Elephas maximus indicus: one gene and its partner. The protein of the gene in region 1 interacts with the protein of each later gene in a pairwise test. Links are inferred from orthologs where the notes say so. Each region holds a gene or a part of one and is shown on either strand. Other genes may lie near its edges.

Region 1 (12,648 bases):
TGCCAGATAGACATAGACACATGAGGATAGGAATTTTGTTTTAGTCACAGCTGTAGCCTCAGCACCTATAAAGTGTTTGCCCCATAATAGGCACTCGTTATTTTTTTTCAATGAATAAACATTTCTTGACTGAATCATAAAACAATTTGACAAATGAAAACTATGTATGTAAATGACAAATCACGAAAAAAACTACTGGAATTAAAATGTTACTAGTTCAAGAGTAATTTACCAGTCAGATTCTTTAAACTGCGGAGGTGGTTTTTTACAATGCCTGTTCTCTTGTGTGCTACTGTGAGACCTCCTCTTCCGTTTGTGACTTCCACTGTAGCTTTCATGCCCCCAGCTTTCTCTGCTATCCCAATCAGGGCAATGAGTGCGTTTTGAATGCCGCATCTGTTAACAGAAACAAAAAGGGATTTGTGGAAGTTATAGTGTACATAGCTGTGTTTAAAAAAGTATTACAGATTAATATTATTTAAACATAAAAACCCAGCACACAGGCTCTAAAATCTTTTTTTTTTTTTTGGTACAATTTAGTGCCATTAATTCATCATATTGTGCAACCATCACCATCCTCCATTTCCAAATTTTTCCACCACCCTTAACAGAAGATCAATGTCCTCTATCTAAATTCTTTTTAGGCTAATGGCCCACATTACCACAGCCTCGACCAGACTGAGTCCAGTACAACTAGCCGGTGCCCAGCTACCACCACCAAAACTGCTCTGACAGGGATCACAACAGAGGGTCCCGGAAAGAGCTGGAGAAAAATGCAGAACAAAATTCGAACTCAAAAAGAAAGACCGGACTTGCTTACCTCACAGAGACTGGAAAAACCCTGGGAGTATGGCCCCTAAACACCCTTCAGCTCAGTAACGAGGTCACTCCTAAGGTTCACCCTTCAGCCAAAGACTGAACAGGCTCATGGAACAAAACAAGACTAAAGGTGGGTACCAGCCCTGGGGCAGGGACTGGAAGATAGTAGGGAACAGGAAAGCTGGTAATAGGGAACAGAAGGGAGCGTGTTGGCATGTTATGGGGTTGTTAACCAATGTCATAGAGCAACGTGTGTACTGTTCGATGAGAAACTAGTTTGTTCTGTAAACCTTCATCTAAAGTACAGTAAATAAATAAATAAAATCTTTTTAGGTAATGTTCCCCATCATGGGGCACTAGACCAAGATGACTTAAGCGGCATACAGATCTAGATACCAATACTGTAAGACCTTAATACATTTTCTTTCAATCTTTTCAATTACACCCAGGAAAAAGTCTCGGCTTGATGTTTATCTTCAACTAACACTTGCTCATTGTCCTTTGAAAACAAAAGTGCCAGGGCTTGGGCAAACAGCCTTCAGTAAATAACAGTATTTAGCTAGAAATGAATACTTTTGTTTTTCTTTTATTTTTACAATTACCTTCTTTATGACAACTAATTTCTGATTTCCTAATTAAGTTATTGATATGATTTCCTTAAAACTGTTAAAGTTAAAATCTGAGTTGACTTAAAGATAAATAATATGACAAGTGTCACCCAGCTTTGGCAAAAATACTATATAGTACAAATAACTGAAGTCAGCAAAAACACTCAGGGATATTAAATGTGGGAAATTACTTTGTCTTAAAGTAATTTAACTCTCTCAAACTCTGCAGAGTTCCCTTCTATAAATCTCAGAATGACTCCAACCTTTGAAAATAATAGGAGGTAAAGAGAACAGTATTCAACAGAGAAACTGAAGGCCAATAAAGAGATGTGATTTAATGAACTCACTTTTTTTTAATCCAACCAGTTTATTTTCAGATCATTCTACAGTTATTCTTAAACCTAGCTGCTACAGCTCTGAAGCACTCTGTAAAAGAAACCAACCTAGGAGCTGCACAGTGAAGTACGTCACAGTCAAATCAGAAGAATGATGGTGACAATTCCCTGACACCATCTACAACTTCAATTACATAGGCTCATTCCAGGTTCAGTATCTGTGCTCAATGTCATCCTGATCTGCTTCTCCCCAACTTAACTCTTTTCCAAAGCAACTAAATTTTTAAGTGACGTCTAAACTCTGTTAAACAGGGTGAGCTTAAAAAGGCAAAAAGGAAAGAATTTCACAACTTCAGCAAGGAATTGGAAAAGGCTAAAATGTAACAAAACCAATTGAGTTAACCTCATTCAGCTTGTTCAAGTGACTTGGGAACCAGCAAACAAATGCCAAGTGAAAATGTCAATTTCCAAGTGGATTAAAATGAGACTTTGAAATGAGGCAGTTCAACTCTCCTGGGAGGCATTCCTTAAAAAACTGTATATATCATCCCATCAGGGCCTGATGCCACCAAATATTCAGATCTCTTTAACTCCTCTTGCTGATTCTAACTCTACGCCTGTAAAGTGTTCTTCTGATAATGTGACTTCTCTTTGAGCTTGTTTAAGAAAGGAGAAGACATTGATCAGGTCAAACAAGAATCCTAAAACCAGGGCTTCCAACAGCTTATTTTCGGTTTGACCCCCTGCTAAGAATTTGCTCTTCCACCCCAGATATACTGAATCTACAGTTTATCTATAGGGTCACTGTGAGTCGGAATCCACTTGGCAGCAATGGGTTTTCTGGTTTTTACAGTTTACCAAGACCCTCAGGTGGTTCTGGGGTAAATGCAAATTCTCAGCAGGCAGTCAAACAGAAAATAACTGGTTCAAAACCCTGCCTAAAACACCTGCTAGGCATCTCACCGGAAATAAGTAGTCTGACTTAAGTATGAAACGTGTTGTTACCGTTAGATGCCAAGGAATCGATTCTGACTCATAGCGACCCCATGCGACAGAATAGAACTGCCCCTCAGGGTTTACCAGGCTATAATCTCTACAGAAGCAGATCGCTAAGTCTTTCTACCTTGAAGTGGCTGGGGGGTTTGAAATGCTGTCCTTTCAGTTAACAGCTGAGCACTTAATCACTGCGCCACCAGGGCTCCGTGTATGGGACATAAATTTGGGAAAATGAACTAAAGGGCATGCAAATTTACCCGAAGCAAAAAGCCAAAAAATAAACTTTCTTCAGAGGAGCCATAAAAAACATTTCTATTTTCTAGTGGAATTCTTCTGATACCTTCCTTGAATTACCAAAATTGAATTTTAACCACATCGGGAACTTTTTAAAATAGCTTCTCAGCATTTTCAAACAAATAAGAGCAGGCAAAATCACATCTGATAAACGGTTATTATGACCACCATCCATTATTGTGCAGTTTTTTTGCCAAACATGTGTCTGGTTTAGTTTTTTTCCCCTTCCTACTGTCAGTTGGCCACAACAGGCTCACCTCCAGCAAGGCAGCATTCTCAAATAAACAAAGTTATTACACTAAAACCTGTGAAAGCTGGAACCTAGGTAAGACTGAAACCTCTCAGAAAAGGAAAATTCAAATACTTCCCTATAAGAGAGAGCGATAGACAAGTGGTAAGGCTGTATGCCCTGTCAAAGGTGGAAAACTTACAAGACCTGGAAAAAACAAGGCAGATCCTTGGAGTTCCAGCTCTCAATAATGAACTATTTGTGAGAGCCCAAGATTTGTATTTCTGTAATCAAGTTTCAGAAACCCTGGTGGTATAGCGGTTAAGTGCTACAGCTGCTAACCAAAGGGTCAGCAGCAGTTTGAATCTGGCAGGTGCTCCCTGGAAACTCCATGGGGCAGTTCTATTCTGTCCTATAGGGTCGCTATGAGTTGGTTTCCACTCCACAGCACTGGGTTGTTTGGGTAATCAAGTGTCACTACTTCAAATTTAATGCAGTTACTGTTAGGAAGTTTTTTTTTCCCCTAATGCTCAGAAATATATTCTCAGAAGGTAAAGATTTCTTCAGTGACTGTTCCTTCACACACACACACACAAACTACCTAGAAATTATTAAATTATCTCTAATTAAAAATAACCCTATATGCTAGAATCATCAGATATTTTCCATAAAAACAGACACACGGGATCCATCCGTATGCATGCACCTGTACTGGAAATCTGATTTTCCTGACATTTTTAAAATCTTATGATACCCGACACTTAATGCTATGTACATGGCTTAAAAACATCAAAATAGACGTTATGACTAGTCGGCTCCAAGACAGCATTTAATAAGTAACACGAAGCCTGTGGGTGCGTGAGTGATGCACAATCACATAGAAGACTATAAAGGGAGGCCAAGTGGTTGGCCCGGTCAGTTTGGAGCGTTGTTTTCTTAGAACTGGATAAGCATAGCTGGACTACGTGAGTAATCACGAATAATACGATGCAAAATTATCAGAAATACAGATTAGCTGTTAACAGTGGTGTGCTCCACCTTAGGAAGAAAACGCACCGCACAAATGACGAACCTCCCATATTTCAACCTTCCAAGCTTGAGCTAAATTCCACCAACTGGACTCGCAGGAGGTGCCCCGGTGGTGCAGTGGTTAAAGCGCTCGGATGCTAGGTCAGCGGTTCGAACCCACCAGCCGTTGCTCAGCAGGCGAAAGATGTGGCAGTTCACTTCCCTAAAGATTACAGCCTTGGAAACCCTATGGGGCAGTTCCACTGTGTCCTACAGGATCGCTGAGTCGGAATCGACTCGATGACGCGGGTTTTCTGAATTCACAGCTCCTCTGACGCCCAGCCTCCATCACCGCCCAGCCTCCCCGCCCCGGGCCCCCGGCTGGGGCCTTTGCCTCACTCACAGATCCCGGCAAATATCTGATTCTGGAAAACCCCAAACTCCAGAAACGGCTCTCGAAGGGTCTCCCGCACTGCTGGTCCCCGCATTCGGCAAGTCTTCGCTCCAGCGGGCGGCGGCGGCCCTGAAGGGATCACCAAGACCCCGCCCGGCCCGTTAGCCACAACATCGGTACGAGGCTGGGGCCTGCGGAGCCGCGGTGCACGAGACAGGGGCCCTCAGGTAAGGGTCAGAGCAGAACCGCGGGCCTTTCCGCCCCAGAACTTTAGATGTACCATGACGCCCGAGCAACTTTAGGTTTTTAAGGCCACCAGCTGAGCAGTACCTCTTAGGAACCCCCAACTCATCAACAAGCGCCGAGGCCCCGAACCCAGTCGTTTCTCCGACACCTGGCCTTGAGACATAAGTCTCCCAGCCAAGCACACTCCATCCTATACCTTACCTCTCCAAAAGCAAAAGGCCTTTTGGGCGAGAAACGTCGCCAAACCGCCGTCTTCCCCCTCCAGCTACTGCGACAAAAACCCCACAAAATGGCGGTAGCGGCCCCTAGCACCACCTACGACGCGCGAACGCGCCTGCGTTACAGAGCCTCTGGCGCTCCGGCCCCGCCCCTAGGGGCGGGGCTCTGTGACCCAACCAGCCCCGCCTCGAGGCCTGGTGGGGCAACGGCGATTCGTACAGTCGCTCTGAGTGAAACCGCGGTGAAACTCTAGTACTCTCCCCACAACATGTAGGGCGTGTCTGCGCCTCAAGGTGGAGCTAAAAGTGCTGCGCTTGTCGGCAGGGCCAGCCCGTGGCTGTTGACCTGCTCTTCCCGTCAAGGGTGACGCGCTGTCGCACTTTCTCCACCATTCCGCCCCATCCCCCACGCCCTCAACTTCAGAGGCAGCCAAGAAACAACACAAAAACCCTCAAAGCCCACGCTGTGCCGTAGTCCCTGTCCACTTGGAGCTTTCGGTCTCAAATGGGTTTAGAATAAAGATGTTTCAGAAAACAAGCTCAGGGGTGCTTATTTTTTAAAGGCACAGGCTCCTAAGCAGAAAGAAAAAAAAAAAAGAGGAAGTTTCTTACGAGGTTCTTCCTGTTATGGTTCCTGCTCCTGGGACAGCTATGGTAGCTGGAAGTTTTACTAACGAAGTCCTCCCGTTATTTGTCCCTGAGGGTTGATTTTAAAATTCAGCCAAAGCAGGGGTAATGGCTGTGAGCCAGTGAGCGTCCATTAAGCGGCTTGCTTACCTCAGAAAAAGATACTTTGCAGTTCTGAGAATCCCCAGATGTAAGGTGAGAAGACAGCCAAAGACTGGGGAACGCTTTAAGGGACAGAAGAAGCCCGAGTAGGAGCATTGAGAGTTTGATGTTAGAGAAAATAAGGAAAGTGTTTCAATAACAGAAAGGCTGACTGTCAAATGTTACAAAGGGGTCAGGTATTCAGATATTGTTAATATTGGGAAGTGTCAGCAAACCCACCCCGTTGCCGTCAGGGAGATTCTGTATTCTCTCAAGGATTCCCTGGATAAAAAGGAAAAGCAGAAATTAAAATTGGAAGGGCAGGGTCCCATTGTTGTGGTCATTATTCCTATAGCATGTGGGATACCTGAATTCTTTTACCTTGTTAGATGAACAGAGGGCACTGTGATACATTTAGTGAACTAACATCACAGATGTTAGATACTTGTGATACATAGAAACTTGTGCTGCCTATTTTGGGTAAATTGAATTCTCACTGAGATTGTACCTTACTTCAAGAAGGTTAGTGAAAAGACAATTGAAAGTGAAAATTCTTTACACTACAGAATGAAACTGAGATGATCGTATTCTCCTCACTTGGAATACCCCCTATTTCCATATCTATAGATTTACATCTTACCTGTCCTTTAATGTTCAACTCCTTAAAGATGCTGTCCCTGACCGCATCAGCTTCCACCCATCTCCTGCTCTTGGCTACTTCAGTTAGAGTTGAAGTCTTCAAATAATGGGTAAAGGCATGCTGGTGTGTCTAGGGCCAATCAAGCATGCCAACCAATTTTGCCTAAATAGTGAAATTTATTGGTTCTGCAAGTGATCACACGTACTGTTTCAGAGATAGAACATTGAGCTGAGAGGGTTGGCGATCTTGTAAGGTAAAGTGGGGCTCAACTTGCTGCATATTAAGTGTAAGTTCAAGCTGGCACCAAAGAAAAGTTCCCTGTCTGTTGGAGTATGAGAGAGAGTTGTCTCATGAGGATGTGAGTGTGGTCAGGACAGTATACCCAAAAACCAAAACCCAGCACCATCGAGTCAATTCCAACTCACAGACTACTCAAATAGCAACACGGGGTTAAAAGGCAGCCACATGGAGGAGTCAACTGCAGAGGTTCTTACAGATACTATAAGATACTGTTACTCAGTAGTGGAATCTGCTTTGTAATTACTTGTTTTAGTGTTGTTTTGAGTATTTTAAATGTGCCACCAAAAGGTCTAAGATTTGAAAGGGTACAGTGATCACAAGGGGGCTGAAAAACACCAAATGTATCTATGACACGTTACACGGCACTGTGGTGCTCCTGATTGTCATCTGTGGCTTTGTGCTTCAGCAGGGAACAAGGACCCTGTTTTATATTTTGCTTGGTTGTCTCCTTTTAGTGCCCAGAATGGACTAAACATTAATAGGTTGTTTACATAAGCTACTTTTGGCCACTTTGCTCAGTGGTTTAAATTCTAAACTGATTAAGTCAAAGGTAAAGATTTGCTTCCAGGATCCCTGCGGCAGTTAGCTTAATAACACTCTTAATAACACGTGGCAGCCTCAACCTTCTCCATTAAGTCAGTTCCCTGGAAATGAACACCATTGTTTAAAAAAAAAAAAAATAAATTTCTGCAAGTTCACTACCAACACTGAAAAAACTTCCTAATCAAGTAGCTTCATCTCCACAGAAAAACAAGTATGTTCAAGAAAACCTTAAGTTAAACCATGTGTTAAAAACAACCATTTGAGGAAAATCTTAGCTTTGAAGAGCAAAAAAAAAATAAAAATTTTTATTTTATTTGTATTTATATTTATTTATTTTTTTACAACCAGAGGAATATTCTTTCATATATTCGAACATGCATATTCTATATACTTAACTTCAGATATTGAAAACACTCATCTATAAATGAAGTTTCAGAGTAAAAGTCTAAATTGTGTAAATTGTTTAGCAAAAGCTTTATAGAGAAACCTTTACAAAAAAAAATCTTAATACCTACGTTATAATTGCTCATCACCAATAATTTATTCATCTGAATTCAGTTCCTTTTTTTTTTTTGGCTATCAATTAACTACTCACGATGTGTTAACCATTTTATATACATGAACTCATTTAATAATATAAATAACCGTATAAGGTGATCATTGGTTATTTGCCCTAGATCACATGGTTATCAAGTGCCAGGCTAGGATTTAAATCCAGGCCTTGCTTGCTCCAATGCTCTTGCATTTACTACATTCTACTGAACGGCTATAACTCATATAACAAAATACATAGCAACTTACTTTACTTAATCTTTAGGGGAAACCATGCCGAATCCATCTTTCAGCAAGACCAAAAGAGTTTGTTTTAAATAACCACAACCCAGGGTTATTTATTTGAAGGCTCCTCATGATGAAACAATGGATCAGTTTACCTCCAGTACATCAAGGCCATCAAAGGTCCCAGTGTCCCCTACTTGCTGTTGAACAGCGAGTCACAAAGGGTCTCCTATGCATCCTACTCTGCCCAAGATGAATAACGTCCCAGGTTTCTCAGGTGTTTCCTGAGAGTGGTGGTGAGGAGATTCACAGAGCACAACAATGCCAGAAGCATTCTGTGACACACAACACACTTTGCAAAGTGTGTGGAGTGTATGCGGAGAAGTATGGGAAGTGGTTTAAGTTAGAGGTTCTGTAGGAAATACAATCAACTCGTCTTTCCAATCTCTTTGTCAATAATGTCCAGTACCACCAATGAAAGGGGCTCAGGACAGGGTCACAGTTGGATGTAACTTTTGAATACACCTGTGACAGAGGGACCATGATAGCTGTGACTTATAAGTGTGATTTTTAACACAATACATACCGTCTATGCAGATATAACACAATACCATCTACACATTTAAACCACAACTGTTGCTACTGTTGTTTCTTTTGGTCCATTTGGCCCCCAACTCATGGCAATCCGATGCACAACAAAATGCTGCCTGGTCCTGCACCATCCTCCCAGATTTGACTGATTGCCAGGCTTTTCTTCCTAGTCTGTTGGTCTGGAAGCTCCTCTGAAAGCTATTTGGCGGCACAGTAACACACAAGCTTCCACTGACAGATGGGTGGTGGTTCCACATGAGGCACATTGGCTAGGAACTGAACCTGGGTCTCCCACGTGGAAGGTAAGAATTCTACCGCTGTTCAGTTACCAGTATATATATGTATGTATGTATGTATATATATGTATATATGTGTGTGTGTAGGATCTGAGAGTAGTAGATGGGAAAGACAGATATTAAACACATTAGAGATGTGCTTCTTTCTCAGAGTTCTGAATTTTGGAATAGGAGCCCATCAAGGCTATGACTTCAGTTTCCTTTGTAGCTTTGCTACCCTTGCAATTAAATCCTAGGCCTGATTTTTCAACACAGTCTGCCCTGTGGTACGGGAGATACCCACTGCTGTCAAGTCGATTCCGACTTATAGCGACCCTATAGGACAGAGCAGAACTGCCCTGTAGAGTTTCCAAGGAGCATCTGGTGGATTTGAACTGCCGACTTCTTGGTTAGCAGCTTTAGCACTTAACCACTACACCATTAGGGTTACCCTACAGGAGATAAAGATCTCTAAATGCAAAGGAGGAATCCTTGGGTGGTACAAAGGTTAGGAGTTTGAGTCTATCCAGCGGCACCTTGGAAAACAGCCCTGGTGATCTACTTCTGAAAAATCAGACAGTTCTACTCTGACACAGATGGGGTCACCATGAGTTGAAACTGACTTGACAGCAACTGGAAAAAAAAAGGTAATGGAGGCTTTCTGATACTACAGTGTGCTTTCAGTTGACGGCTGGCTGGCCTGAGCTTGTCGTTTTCTTTTTTCTAGGCTTTTAAAACAACTAAAGATAAACAACTCCACAATTAAAATTACTGTTGTCCTTATACTATTCAAGTACCTCCAGCCAATGCATAAGTTAATGTTTCACCTTCACTGAACCTCATTCTGATTCACCACCAGGGACAGGTTTTTCTAGACCCAAGGACTATATGCTTTCTTTTTAACCACTTTGTCAACCCATTACCATCAAGTTGATTCTGACTCATAGTCACCCTATAGGACAGAGTAGAACTGCCCATAGGATTTCCAAGGAGCAGCTGGTGGATTCGAACTGCTGATCTTTTGATTAGCAGCTGAGCTGTTAACCACCGCCCTACCAGGGCTCCTGTCTCCCTTAGGAACGGTGATAATAGGCATCTCTGCCTTATGCCTGCTTGCACTGTTTTATTTAAGTTTCATAATGTAACTTATTTTTCCTTCTTAATATATTGTAGAAAATTTTCACACCAATAAATATTTATATATGTCATCTTTTTTTTTTTTTAACAATTACCTTGTTGATGGAATTTAGTTTGCTATCAAATTTTCTTTTGTCTCAGGAATATGCTTTTTAAAATTTGAAATTTATACAGTTCAAAATTAGTTTTTAAATTTCTAAAGGTACAAAAGTGTTTACAATGAAAGGAATCTCTCATCCCTGCTCCCACCTACCTCATTTCCTTCCTTAGAAACAACCAATGTTATTAATATTTTGAATATCTTTCCAGAGGTATTCCACGCATTTACAAATAACACATACACACGCACACATGCATACTTTCCCCCTTTTCACTCCTTTATAACCTTTTATTTTGAAAAATTTCAAAGTTACAGAAGAGTTGCTGGAATACTACATTGATAGCCAAAAAGTGGAAACAATCCAAATGTCCATCTACTTATAAATGAATAAACAAAATGTGGTATATCCATACAATGGAGTATTTATTCAACCATAAAAAGAAATGAAGTAATGATACATGGATGAACCTTGAAAACATTATGTTAAGTGAAAGAAGCTAGTCACAGAAGACCACATATGATATGATTCCATTCATATGAAATGTCCAGAATAGACAAAGAAATAGATACGGAAAGTAGAGTAGTGGTTGCCTAGGGCTGGGATCTAGGGGATGGGGTGTGATCTAAAGGGTATGGGGTTTCTTTTTGGGGCTGATGAAAGTGTTCTAAAATTGATTGGGTTGATAGTTGCACAACTCTGTGAAGATACTAAAGAAACATGAAATTGTACACTTTAAATGGGCGAATTACATCGTATATGAATTATATTTCAAAAAAGCTGTTAACAAAAAAAAAAAGGAGGAAGAAGAAATTAAGTATTGATATATGCTACAAGGAGCCCTGATGATGCAGTGGTTAAGTGCTTGACTGCTAACTGAAAGGGTGGTGGTTTGAACTCACCCCTTGCTCTGCAGGAAAATGATGTGGCAGACTGCTTCTGTAAAGGGTACAGCCTTGGAAACCCCATGGGGCAGTTCTACTCTATCCTAATGGTCGCTATGAGTTGGAATCCACTCAGCGGCAGTTGGTTTGATTTTTTGGCTTTATATGCTACGACATGCATGAATCTTGAAAATCAAATGAAGCGAAAGAAGTTACACCCAAAAGCTACATGTTGTATGATTCCGTTTGTACAAAATGTCCATAATAGGCAAATTCATGAAGACAGAAAGTAGATTAGGAGTTTGGAAGAGAAGGGAATGGAGAGTAAGTAATTGGTATGGGGTTTGTTTTTGTAGCGATGAAATGTTTCAGAATTTGATTGTAGTGCTGGTTCCACAACCTTGTGAATATACTAAAAAAAAACGCTGAATTGTAAACTTTAAAAAAGGTGCATTTTATGGTATGTGAATCATACCTCAATAAAAATATTTCAAAAGATTACTGCATTGAACATCCACATACCATTCAGCTAGATTTGTTAGCGTTTTGCTATATTTGTTTTATCTGTTCACGTTTATAGTCTTTTTTTTTTTCCTCTGAGGTATTTGAGTTAGCTACAGTCATCACAACCCTTCAACTCTAAATACTTTAGCACTGACTCCTAAGATCGAGGGCATTCTTGTAGTGACCACCATACTGTTAACACACTCATGAAATCTGATTCGCAGTGCCGGGAATGACCTTTACATCCGGTTCCTCTCCTTTCTTTTTTACATGACTTGATCTATCATTCAAATCCTTGCTAACGAAGAGCTCGTGCTCCAAATTTACAATCAATACTCAGTAATTGAGTTTCTACTGAGCCTCAAGTTCCTCCATTGTAGAATGAAAGAAGAATATTATTGCTGGAACGGGAACTTGCTGAATTATATTGTTGTTAGGTGCCATGGAGTCGTTACCGACTCATTGCAACCCTCGGAGACCAAGTCACTAATCTATGTAAATTGTTCTCTCCCTTTCAGAGTAAGTATATTGAATTCACTTACGTTTAATGTGCATGATTCAACTCCTCTATAGTAACCGCTAGGAGCCCCATGGCACAAATGGTTAAGCACTGAGACTCAGCTGCTAACTGAAAGGTTGGCAGTTCAAACCCACCCAGCCTCTCCACAGGAGAAAGACCTGGTGACCTGCTTCCATAAAAGTTACAGGCAAGAAAACCCTATGGGGCAGTTCTACTCTGTCACATGTGGTCACTATGAGTCAGAATCGACCAGATGGCACCCAACAACAACCTACCGATCATTAAATCATTATCTGCTCTCTGTACCAGATCTAATGAAGATTTGAAGAGAGTAATTTGCAATCCCTGCTAACAATATAGCACAAGGGTTGAAAAAATGGCTTACAGGCCAATGTTTTTATATGGCCCATAAGCTAAGAATGGTTTTTATGTTGTGAAATGTTGGGAAAAAAATCAGAATTTTA
Region 2 (11,785 bases), on another chromosome or scaffold:
GAATAGAAGGAAAATTCCTCAACATAATAAAGGGCATTTTTACAAAGCCAACAGCCAACATCATCCTAAATGGAGAGAGTCTAAAAGCATTCCCCTTGAGATTGGGAGCCGGACGAGGATGCCCTTTATCACCACTCTTACTCAACATTGTGCTGGAGGTCCTAGCCGGAGCAATTAGGCTAGATAAAGAAATAAAGTGCATCCAGATTGGTGAGGAAGAAGTAGAAGTATCTCTATTTGCAGATGACATGATCTTACACACAGAAAACCCTGAAGAATCCTCAAGAAAACTACTGAAACTAATAGTTCAGCAGAGTATCAGGATACAAGATAAACATACAAAAATCAGTTGGATTCCTCTACACCAACAAAAAGATCATTGAAGAGGAAATCACCAAATCAATACGATTTACAATAGCCCCCAAGAAATTAAAATACTTAGGAATAAATCTTACCAGAGACGTAAAAGACCTATACAAAGAAAACTACAAGACACTACCACAAGAAAAAAAAAAAAAAGAGAGACCTACCTAAATAGAAAAACATACCTTGCTCATGGATAGGAAGACCTAACGTTGTAAAAATGTCTATTCTACAAAAAGCCATCTATAGATACATCACAATTCCGATCCAAATTCCAAAGACTTTTTTTAATGAGATGGAGAAACAAATCACCAACTTCATATGGAAGGGAAAGAGGCCCCAGATAAGGAAAGCATTACCGAAAAAGAACAAAGTGGGAGGCCTTACTCTACCTGATTTTAGAACCTATTATACCGCCACAGTAGTCAAAACAGCCTGGTACTGGTACAACAACAGATACATAGACCAGTGGAACAGAATTGAGAATCCAGACATAAATCCATCCCCATATGAGCAGCTGATATTTGACAAAGACCTGAAGTTCCTTAAATGGGGAAAAAATAGTGTCTTTAACAAATGGTGCTGGCATAACTGGATATTCATCTGCAAAAAAATGAAACAAGACCCATACCTCACACCATGCACAAAAACTAACTCAAAATGGATCAAAGACCTAAATATAAAATCTAAAACGATAAAGATCATGGAAGAAAAAATAGGGACAATGCCAGGAGCCCTAATACATGGCATAAACAGTGTATAAAACATTACTAACAACACAGAAGAGAAACTAGATAACTGGGAGCTCCTAAAAATCAAACACCTATGCTCATCCAAAGACTTCACCAAAAGAGTAAAAAGGCATCCTACAGACTGGGAAAAAGTTTTTTGCTATGACATTTCCGATCAGCATCTGATCTCTAAAATTTACATGATACTGCAAAAACTCAACTACAAAAAGAAAAATAACCCAATTTAAAAATGGGAAAAGAATACAAATAGGCACTTCACTGAAGAAGACATTCAGGTAGCTAACAGATACAGGAGGAAATGCTCATGATCATTAGCCATTAGAGAAATTCAAATCAAAACTACAATGAGATTCCATCTCACTCCAACAAGGCTAGCATTAATCCAAAAAACACAAAATAATAAATGTTGGAGAGGTTGTGTGCATTCCCACCTCAGGACCTTTGCCCTTAGTGGTTCCTCTCATCTGGACCAATTATCCAAGGTAGTCGTACAGCTGGATGCCTTAACTTCATTCCTGTCTCTATAAAAACTGATGACCACATCAAAAATAGTATCCTCTGCCACTCTCTACCTCCTTTACTTTGTAGCTCTTGTCACTCCCTCACAAAAAAAGGCTTGTACATCCCTTCCCCCTTCTTTCTGCCTTGAACACGAATTAGATGCCTCATGCTTTGGCAGCCATATTGCAATCATGCGGGGAAAGGCCAAAAAAAAAAAAAAATCACACAGACACTAGCTCCATATATCACTGAGCTATTCATCCAGCATTGCCTACATCCAGAATTTTCATCATGAAAAAAATAGCCACTTATTTAAGCAACTGTTAGCTTTCTGACTTGAAGCCAAGAGCATTCCTAACTTTACACACTGGCTCTTCCCTCTGCTCAGAACATTCTGATAACTCCTCATAACTCCAAAAGACAAAAGAGCTCCTATTAGTCAGAGCTTATTGTGTGCCAAGCACTGAGATAAGCGTTTTACCAGTATTATCTCATTGTATTTCCACAACCCTAAGTCAGTGGGGGCAGTGGTGGTTCAGTGGTAGAATTCTTACCTTAGGTTTGATTTCCAGCCAATGCACCTCAGATGCAGCCACCACTCATCTGTCAGTGGAAGCTTCCGTGTTGCTATGATGCTAAACAGGTTTCAGCTGAGTTTCCAGACTAGGAAGAAAAGCCTAGTGATCTGTTTCCAAAAATCAGCCAGTGAAAGCCTTATGGATAACAAGGATCCAATCCGCAACTGATCATGAGGATGGAGCAGGACCGGGCAGCGTTTCATTCTGTTGTGCGTGGGGTCACCAGGAGTCAGGGGCCGACTCTACTACAGCTAACAGCAAGTGATCGACACTAGAGGAAGCTGAAACTTAGAGGTCAAGTCACGTGCCAAAGCCACAAGTCCAGGTCTTTCAGATGCCAGTATCTGGGCCTCTTCACAGTGCCCTGTATCGTGCTTCACTCTGGAAAGTCATGCCATCACGCTGAGCAGTGCCCCCTCTGTGCTTCCCCCTCACAGCACTTGTCACTGTATTACTGTATGAACCTCTTCACCTGTTGTCATGGATTGAATTGTATCCCCAAAAATATGTGTATCAATTTGGCTGGGCCATGGTTCCCAGTATTGTGTGGTTGTCCTCCATTTCGTGATTGTAATTTTCCTATGCGTTGTAAATCCTAATCTCTGCCAGTGGTTAATGAGGCAAGATTAGATTATGTTAAAGAGGATTAGGGTGGCATTGTAACACCCTTACTAAGGTCACATCCCTGATCCAATGTAAAGGGAGTTTCCCTGGAGTGTGGCCTGCACCACCTTTTATTTTACAAGAGATAAAAGGAAAGGGAAGCAAGTAGGGAGTGGGGGACTTCATACCACCAAGAAAGAAGAGCAGGAATGTGAGTCTTTTGGACCCAGGGTCCCTGTGCTGAGAAGCTCCTCGACTAGGGGAAGGTTGACAAGGACCTTCCTCCAGAGGCCACAGGGAGAGAAAGCCTTTCCTTGGAGCTGATGCCCTGAATTTGGACTTGTAGCCTCCTAGACTGTGAGAGAATAAATTTCTCTTTGTTAAAACCATCCACTTGTGGTATTTCTGTTATAGCAGCACTAGATAACCCAGACAGCTGTCTTCCTCCTCTATCAAAAGAATTCTGGGGTGCCAGGTAGGCCTTCTTCACCGCTGGTTCTCCAAGACCTGCTGCAATGCTTGCATGTTGTTATGGACTGAATTGTGTCCCCCAAAAGTATGTGTTGTAAATCCTAACTGCTATACCTATATCCTGGAAACTCTGCTGGTGTAGTGGTTAAGAGTTTGGCTGCTATCCAATAGGCTGGCAGTTCAAATCCACAAGGTGTTCCTTGGAAACCCTATGGAGCAATTCTACTCTGTCCTATAGGGTCGCTATGAGTCAGAATTAACTCGACGACAATGGGTTTGGTTTTTTGTTCTGTTTTGTACCCGTAGTTATAATTCCATTTGGGAGTGATTTTCTTTGTTATGTTAATGAGAAAGTATTAGCATAGGGTGCATTTTGAGTCAATCTCTTTTGAGATATAAAAGGAGCAAATTAAGCAAGGAACTGAAGAAGCAGAGATAAGGGAAGATAGATGCCACGATAGATGAAGATCATCAAGGAGCCAAGGAATAGAAGCTGAGAAATAAGGGCCTTCTCCCAGAGCTGACAGAGAGGGAAAGCCTTCCCCTAGAGTCGGTGCCCTGATTTCAGACTTCTAGCCTTCTAAACTGTGAGAAAATAAATTTCTCTTTGTTAAAGCCACCCACTTATGGTATTACTGTTACAGAGCTAGATAACTAAGACAGTTGTTAAGGAAAGAGACCTCCTGAGCAACTCCTCCACCCCCAAGATGATTTCTTGCCTGGTAAACTCTGGGTGTATGGGGGATTGCTTTTAAGTTCAGCAGAACCCAGGTGTCCCTGCTCCCAGCTCAGTTACAGGGGGTTCCTAAAAACCATCTCATGCCCACCCCACCCAGCAGATAGGAGTGGAAAGGGGTATCAGGTGGGAGAAAAGAACCTCACATACAATCTCCCTCCTCTGACTCAGAAACCCAGGAAACAAGGGGACAGAGAGGGCTTACCCAGCTTGCTCCCTGGATCAGGTCCCAGAACTCTCCCTCCTGGAAAGCACCTCCCCACCCCCCAAAGAGCAAATCTGACAGTAGATACTGTCCAGACAGTGGGATGGTTCCATCCTGGCCCCTCTGTGGGCAAGACCTGGGTCCTTCATGCACAGCTGTGAAGTTCCCAGTTATAAATACCATGGTGCAGGGAGGGGTCACAAAAGGTAAGGTGTCCTGTCTCATGAGGGCCCTACCCCTCCTACCTGGGCCAAGGGGAGGGCATTTTCAAAGCAGTAGCAGTTTAGTCCTGAGACCTCTCATTGTTCTCAACTTCCTTCCCCCTTAACTTAACACAGCTGCGGCAGGTACCCCCATTTCCCAGCAGACCCCCACCACTCCCCATGAAGCCCCCAGCTCCCAATGATCCCAGACTTCATTTTCCTCCTCTCTCAGCAGTATTCCTCACCCCTTTCCAATCTCCAGCAGCCTACAACTCAGCACATGATCCTGAGTTGAGCTATCACTAAATCAAACATTGAGAAATTAGAACTTAAAAAAAAAAAAACTAACATTTACTTACCCCCTTCACCCCCTGATTACAAAAGCTACATGTTCAATAATGCAGGAAATCTGGGGAAACACCAAAAAGCATCAAAGAGGAAAATGAGACTCCCTCCAATCCCACCATCTAGGGGTAACCATCATTAACACCTCATATGACCCAGTATTTCTGTTTTGGACATGTTATCAGAAGGGACCAATCCCTGGAGAAGGACATCATAGAGGGTCAGTGAAAAAAGAGGAAGACCCTCGAGGAGGTGGATTTGACACAGTGGCTGCTGCAACAATGGGCTCAAACAGCAATGATTGTGAGGATGGTGCAGGCCTGCAATGTTTTGTTCTGTTATACATAAGGTTGCTATGAGTTGTTGCTGTTCTTCTTACATTGAAGAGGAAAATGAGATTCAGGGAGGGGAAGTGTCTTGCCTGAGACCATACAACTTAATTTTAAGAGGTGAGGTTTGTATTTTAACTCAGCCATCTGGATCCAAAGCCTGTGCCTCCAGCCTGAGTTTTTCACATTCACTGCCCTCCTCTGCCAACAGTCTGCAGCCACTAGAGGAATGATGGCTCAAAGTTCTGAGGCAGGAAAGCCTGATGTTTTTGATGGGACCCCAAGTCAGCTCCCTAAGGCAGGAGGACCTGACAGGACACCCAGAGCATCTGCCTTTTCCACAGAATGGCCTCTCCTGTCTTCCCCTTCATCTCACATCCTAGTTTGAGGAGGTGATGGGTCTTAAGAGGTGATCCCTTTTCAAGTGAATCCCACAGGGTCACCAAACTGGGAGAATCCAGTCTGCTGAGAAAGAACTATTCAACAATTCCATTGGTTGTTTGCAGGGGGCCTGCTCCCTGTCCCACCAGTCCAGGGGCTGCTTTGGGGCTGAAAGGCAAGGCTGGGATCTGGTACAAAGTGCTCCCAGTAGGGCAGGAGTGACCACCCTTGAAAAATCAGGACAAGGAGATTTTCCAGCTTCCTTGCTGCCGGCTGTGGCAGGGTGGCGACTGGCAGTTGGCTCAGGTATGCAACGTATACTCCAGTCCAAATAGCGCTGTTATTAAAAAACGGGATCAGTCGGCTCCTTTGCTTACTGACTGTAGTTTGCATCCCAGGTGCCCCGGGCGGGGGCGGGGGGAGGGGGGCTGGTTGTCAGTGGGGGCAGACGCTACTGTCAGAGGTGGGGGGTGAACACAACTCTTTGAGCCCAGCCCTGCACAAGGCTGGGGGCTGGACGGGATGCTGCAGGATTCGGTCCCTGCGCCCCGTAGCCCCGAAGCTGCAATGAGAGACTTCGTCCGGCTCAGGAACGGTAGGTCCTCCTAGGATGTTTCCTGGGCCCCTCCGGCCTCCTCACCAACTGACAGGGTCCGCCCACAGCGAAGGCGCCTCAACCAAAGGCTCCGGCGCCAGCCCTCACCTATTCCTTTACGCCCCTTCCCTATCCCTACACGGGCCGGGATCCCGGCTCGGCCCCACGCGCCGACTTCAGGAGTCCCCCTCTCCGGCATCGGGACCCCGAAAGCTGCGACCGGGAACCGCAAGGCAACACCCGCACCCAGGAACTAAAAGATCCCGCCCGGTGGCGAGGTGAGGGGGCCGTGCCTCCACGAGTGCACTTCCGCTTCCGGCTCCGAGCGACGCTTGCGGCCGGGTTTAGTGTTCAAGCTCCGAGGTTGTGGCGTCGGTACCTTCGAGGAGATTGGAGGTGAGGGGGCCGGGAGAGGTGACGGGTCTCGGCCGCCTAGATTCCGCAGGCCTGCGACTGTCGAGGTCGGAGGCCGGAGAACCCTGGGGCTGGGACTTCAGGCGACATGGAGGGGCGGAAACGCAATTGCCGAAGGCCCGCGGGCCTGGGACATCGTACTTAGGGCTCAGGAGGACTCAAATGCGAGGGTTTGGAGGGGGTGAGCGGAAGGCTTAGTGACTGGGGAGGTTGGGACCTGAGAGACATGGAGGCTGGGGTTTTAGAGGTCTGGGAAACCCCTGGAATCTTGACTTTGCCGCCTCCCATCCCTGGTCCTGTGTAGCTCCAGCCAGGATGATCGAGGTGGTTTGCAACGACCGTCTGGGGAAGAAGGTCCGCGTTAAATGCAAGTATCCTTTGGCAATCGAGAGGCAGTAGCCTCTGGGGGTGTGCTTGGCACGAGGCAGGCACTCAGTCGGTGTTGTGGGGTGGTTTTGATTAAACCCAGGAACGGGGGCAGATGGCGTCCTGACAGAGCGCTTTCAGCCCTGGAATCCCCTCTTCTTTTCCTACCTCCTCTTTGCATTTTCCTTAACTTCTCTGCTTCCAGCCCTGATGACACCATCGGGGACCTTAAGAAGTTGATCGCAGCCCAAACTGGCACCCGTTGGAACAAGATTGTCCTTAAGAAGTGGTGAGTGCAGTGGTAGAGCTGCGGCCAGAAGGTTTGGATTGGGGGAATGCTGCAGGCAGCCCTTTGCTTAGGCAGTGCTTCCTCAGCCTGTCTCTAGGGTAAGGACCTCCTGGGCTCCTTTCTGAAAGGTCTTTATCCCATAGGTACACCATTTTTAAGGACCACGTGTGTCTGGGCGACTGTATCCTTTGTGTGACTTCCCGAGAATGGGCCTGCTTGCCCCGCCGTGTTTCTCTTTGTTTGGTACCAGAGTCTAAAAGACTTACACACATAAAGTGTTTAGTATGTAGCACATGATAAGCATTTAGAAAGAGGGACCTATGTAATTATTTTGTTGCGGGAGGGGAGTGTTTGGCTGGTGAAATATTTTGACTAGTATTAGAAAACACTTTAAGTTCAAAATATTTTTTGAGTACTGGGTAGAGTAGACATCCTTGCTCCACCTGAGTGTTGGGCAGGAGGCCAGGATGGAGTGAAACTCAGGCATGTTTGTTACGCAAGGCACTGGAGCATGTACTGTTTTTATGTTTTGGATTCTCCCCAAATCAACATAGGCCAGTCCAAATGGCTTCCTTAGCCCTGGGCTGAGCCTTCATCCTGACCCAGCTGTGAGTGGGTGAAAGGGGTGGGGATGGAGCCCACCATGAGGATTCCTTAACACCTTCACTTCAGATGAAATCCACGATGGGATGAACCTGGAGCTGTATTACCAATAAGGCAGAATTCCTTCCTCCTCTTCTGCCCTCCCTCTCCCCTTCCCACACAGTGGTATGGAGGCTTGTTTTTACATTAATAAAAACTCAGATGCTGCTTCGGTGTTGTCTTCTTCATGTCAGAGCTGTCTGATGAGGGGGAGGGCTGGTGTCTGTCTGGTTGTCACTGTACCCTCAGTGCCCATTTGCTCAGTAAGAGTTGTTGATTGGGTCATTGTGGGAAGAGTGAGTCAGCAGAGTGGGATCCCAGAGCTCTGGGGTTTGCCCTAGGTCACTAAGGGTCCAGGCTTGGGATTGTCACCCTAGAAGACCAGGGAGCCTCTGGGTGGGGACATTAGTAGATGTAGTGGTTAGAAATACAGGCTCTGGATTCAGACAGACCCTGGGTGAAATCCCAGCTTTGCCACCAACAGCTGAGTGATCCTGGGCAAATTACTTAACCTCCCTAAGTCTTCATTTCCTTATTCAAAAACTAGAGCTAATGGTGTTTACTTCATTGGTGTGTTGTGAAGCATAAATAACATAAAGTATGCTTAAACATCCACAGTTACTGGCACTTAACAAAAATAAAAAATGAGTATAGTGGACAGCGGAAGGTAGTGTGGCATAGGCTGTAAGATTCCAGCCTTAGGAGCCAGACCAGCTAGGTATGCACTCTGACTGATCATTAGCAATGGGACTCAGGGAAGTCGACCTCTGATCCTCACTTTCCTCCCCTGAAAAGGACACCATGATGGTACTTACATCTCAGTGAGATAATGTAATTAAAACAGCACACTACCTGGCGCATAGTGCTGTTAGCTGTCCTTGGTCTTCCTCCATGTTTGAGTAGACAAGACAGCAAACATCCTGCCTCTGTTCCTCTGGCCACATGTCCTGGTGCTGACCTTGGCCCTGTCCCCTCCTAGAGGCTGAAGAGAGACCTGGGCCCAGTCTCATTCTGGAGCCCCTCCTTGGAAACCCGTTCCCAGAATCTTGCTCCATCAATACTCCGTCCAAGTTCCAACCAGCCTCTGCCTTTCTTTCACCACAAAGCTTGGAAAATGGACCTGCCTGCCACATAGGACGGTGCTGGTCTGTAGCTCATTGAAAATGGTCTCTCTTTGGTCTTCATTAGTGCCTCTCCCCACTTTCCTTCCATGGCTCCCTCCCTTTTTGGGGACTCCTTTTCCTCCAGGCATGGCAGAAATATCAGTCTCCTGGTACCCTTGCTCTTCCTACTCTTTCTGCTCTGTCTCCCCCATAACTGGCTCTGTTTAAAAACAAAAAATTTTTCAGTTATATGACAGGCTAAAGAGGTGATTCCTTGTTACTTTCAAATCAGCATAGAAGTGAACAGGCTAAAGATGAAAAACTCTCTCCTCCATTCTCTTTCCTGAGATCAGGCCTTTTTCAATGTGTTCATATAAACTTCCGTTTTAATTTTTAAAAAATTATGTGGATGCATGCTTATTAGAAAAATCCAAGTGTTTGTTAAAAACTTTATTTCTGATACCATCCCTTCCACCAGTGGCAGTCATTGACATATTTGAGTAAATCCAGAAATTTTTTGCAATACAATGTAGTTTTTATACAATTGGGATAATTACACATACGGTAATACAGGTATTCCTGACTTGATGTATTCGAGTATTCATATTCAACTTGCATCAGAACAAACTTATGATGGAGTTGTGGGAATGGAATTCCTATACTCATATATTAGCAGCTGACTTTTATATGCTTTATCTTTGACATCTTTCCATATTAATGATCTTTCTCATTCTCTTTTAATTATTTTATTGATTTTTTTGTTTGTTTCATTTTGCTCTTTTACATAAAAGGGCAGTGCAGGACAATTACTGGGTGATGGAACTGTCCTGTATGGATCTGTGATGGTGGATATAGGACTCTGCATTTGTCGATCAGGATATAGGAAGATAGGTGAAATGCAGGCTGTCAAATGAATCCGTGTGTACTACAAATTAATCACATGACCACACTTAACAGGTGGGAAAGAAAGGCGATAAGTTAAATAACTTTGGAAAAAGTATTTTGACTGAATAAGACTAAACACAAAAGAATCTAGTTGATAAATTTGTACCTTATAGGGGTTGTTGTTAGTACCTTTGAGTCAGTTCGGACTCACAGTGACCCTACGTATAACAGAATGAAACACTGCCTGTCCCTGTGCCATCCTCACAGTCATTGCCATGTTTGAGCCCATTGTAGCAGCCACTATGTCAGTCCATTTAGTTGAGGATTTTCCTCTTTTTTCAGACCCTCTACTTTACCAAGCCTTATGTCCTTCTCCAAGGATTGATCCCTCCTGATAACATGTCCAAAGTACATGAGATGAAGTCTCACCATCCTCACTTCTAAGGAGCATTCTTGCTGTACTTCCAAGACAGATTTATTCGTACTTCTGACAGTCCCTGGTATATTAAGTATTTTTCACCAACACCATAATTCAAAAGCATCAATTCTTTGGTCTTATTCATTGTTCAGCTTTTGCATGCATATGAGGCGACTGAAAATATGGCTTGGGTCAGGTGTATTTTAGACCTCAAAGTGAAATCTTTGGTTTTTAATACTTTAAAGAGGTCTTTTGCAGGAGATTTTCCCAATGCAACATGTCATTTGATTTCTTGGCTGCTGCTTCCATGGGTGTTCATTATGTTACTGGAGAATGGTCTCAATTCTTGTCTTCGGCGTAGGAAAGAATTCAAACACTGAGACAAATATTGCCAAGTGAGCAGAGGTTTATTAGCTAGCAGAGGGTTAATAGCAAAAGTACACTTGACTAGGGAGCATCAAACAGGCTACTCAGATATATAGAGTCTGAGAGCCCCAATAGTTGTTTTCTTAGGGTTTTATATCCTTGTCTCTTATCTCTCCCTGTTAACGTTTAACAGCCAAGACAGGGACCCCTATAGAGACTATTTCCTTGGCTTAAGGTTTAATTACCAAGTTAGGGACCCCTATATGGATCATTTCCTTGGCTTAAAGTTTAACTACGTAGGGACCATCTTACTGAGGAATGTCACCACCCCTTGTCTCTTCCTCTTCCAGAGTGCAAGCTCTCCCCCTCCCCCTTACAATTATGGATCCAAGTAAAATGAAATCCCTGACAACTTCAATATTTTCTCTGTTTATCGTGATCGTGATATTGCTTACTGGTCCAGTTGTGAGGATTTTTGTTTTATTTTGAGGTGTAATCCATACTGAACGCTGTAGTTTTTGATCTCCATCAGTTAGTGCTTCAAACCCTCCAAGTCCTCTTCACTTGCAGCAAGCAAAGGTGTGATATTTGGTACCGAGAGTGGTTCTAGAGAAACAAAGTCATAAGAATGAGTTTTCTAAATTTGTTCTCAAGTCTGACTAATCTAAAAGGTGCTGATGACTCTGCTTCCACCTGATGTCAGGTGGCAATATTAATATGCAAAATATCACTAACAGTAGATCAAATATTGGTGAGAAGCAAGGCTCTGGGTGATCACATGTTTGATACTTTTCTACAATTTTGTCAGAATGAGAAGTATAGGGAAACTGGTTGGTTGGTCCTACTTTTGCTAGACAAAATAGTGAAAGAAACAGATGACCTTGGGGCTTCAGAGTCACAGCTCAAGCACCACATAAAAGACCTCAAAGTTTCCACTTGTGCCCTGAAAGAAAGCCTTCTTTCTTGTAGTAACAGAGCTGATATTGCTGAAAACCAAACCCAGAAGCTTATCATAAGAGTGGATGAATTACAATGCCTCTGAATTCCCAACCTCCAGTGGTATCTGAAGTTAAAGTGAGGGTGTGGATTGGGAAGAAATGGGATCCTGAACCTTGGGATGGAGACATATGGGCAGATAATCAGGAAATTGGGGACACTGAGCCTCTAAATTCCATTGAATCATTCCTGCCAACAGAACCAACCCTTTTAACTCCCATCTGAAGAGGGTATTCCATGTTTG

What was found.
Region 2: the proteins of CLK4 (region 1) and UBL5 interact in a two-hybrid assay, tested with the Homo sapiens proteins (2 studies listed by BioGRID and IntAct). The link is inferred for Elephas maximus indicus from reciprocal best matches to the Homo sapiens genes CLK4 and UBL5.

Annotation. Positions count from the first base shown.
Region 1 is NC_064820.1:198,870,267-198,882,914, forward strand, and holds the start of CLK4 (dual specificity protein kinase CLK4), read right to left. Parts: upstream 5,259-12,648; 5' UTR 5,131-5,258; intron 397-5,130; coding exon 233-396; intron 1-232. UniProt on the Homo sapiens protein: Dual specificity kinase acting on both serine/threonine and tyrosine-containing substrates.
Region 2 is NC_064821.1:27,998,350-28,010,134, forward strand, and holds UBL5 (ubiquitin-like protein 5), read left to right. Parts: upstream 1-6,349; 5' UTR 6,350-6,458; intron 6,459-6,780; 5' UTR 6,781-6,791; coding exon 6,792-6,847; intron 6,848-7,047; coding exon 7,048-7,131; intron 7,132-7,274; coding exon 7,275-7,312; intron 7,313-7,803; coding exon 7,804-7,847; 3' UTR 7,848-7,941; downstream 7,942-11,785. UniProt on the Homo sapiens protein: Ubiquitin-like protein that plays a role in cell proliferation and sister chromatid cohesion by associating with spliceosomal proteins. Participates thereby in pre-mRNA splicing by maintaining spliceosome integrity.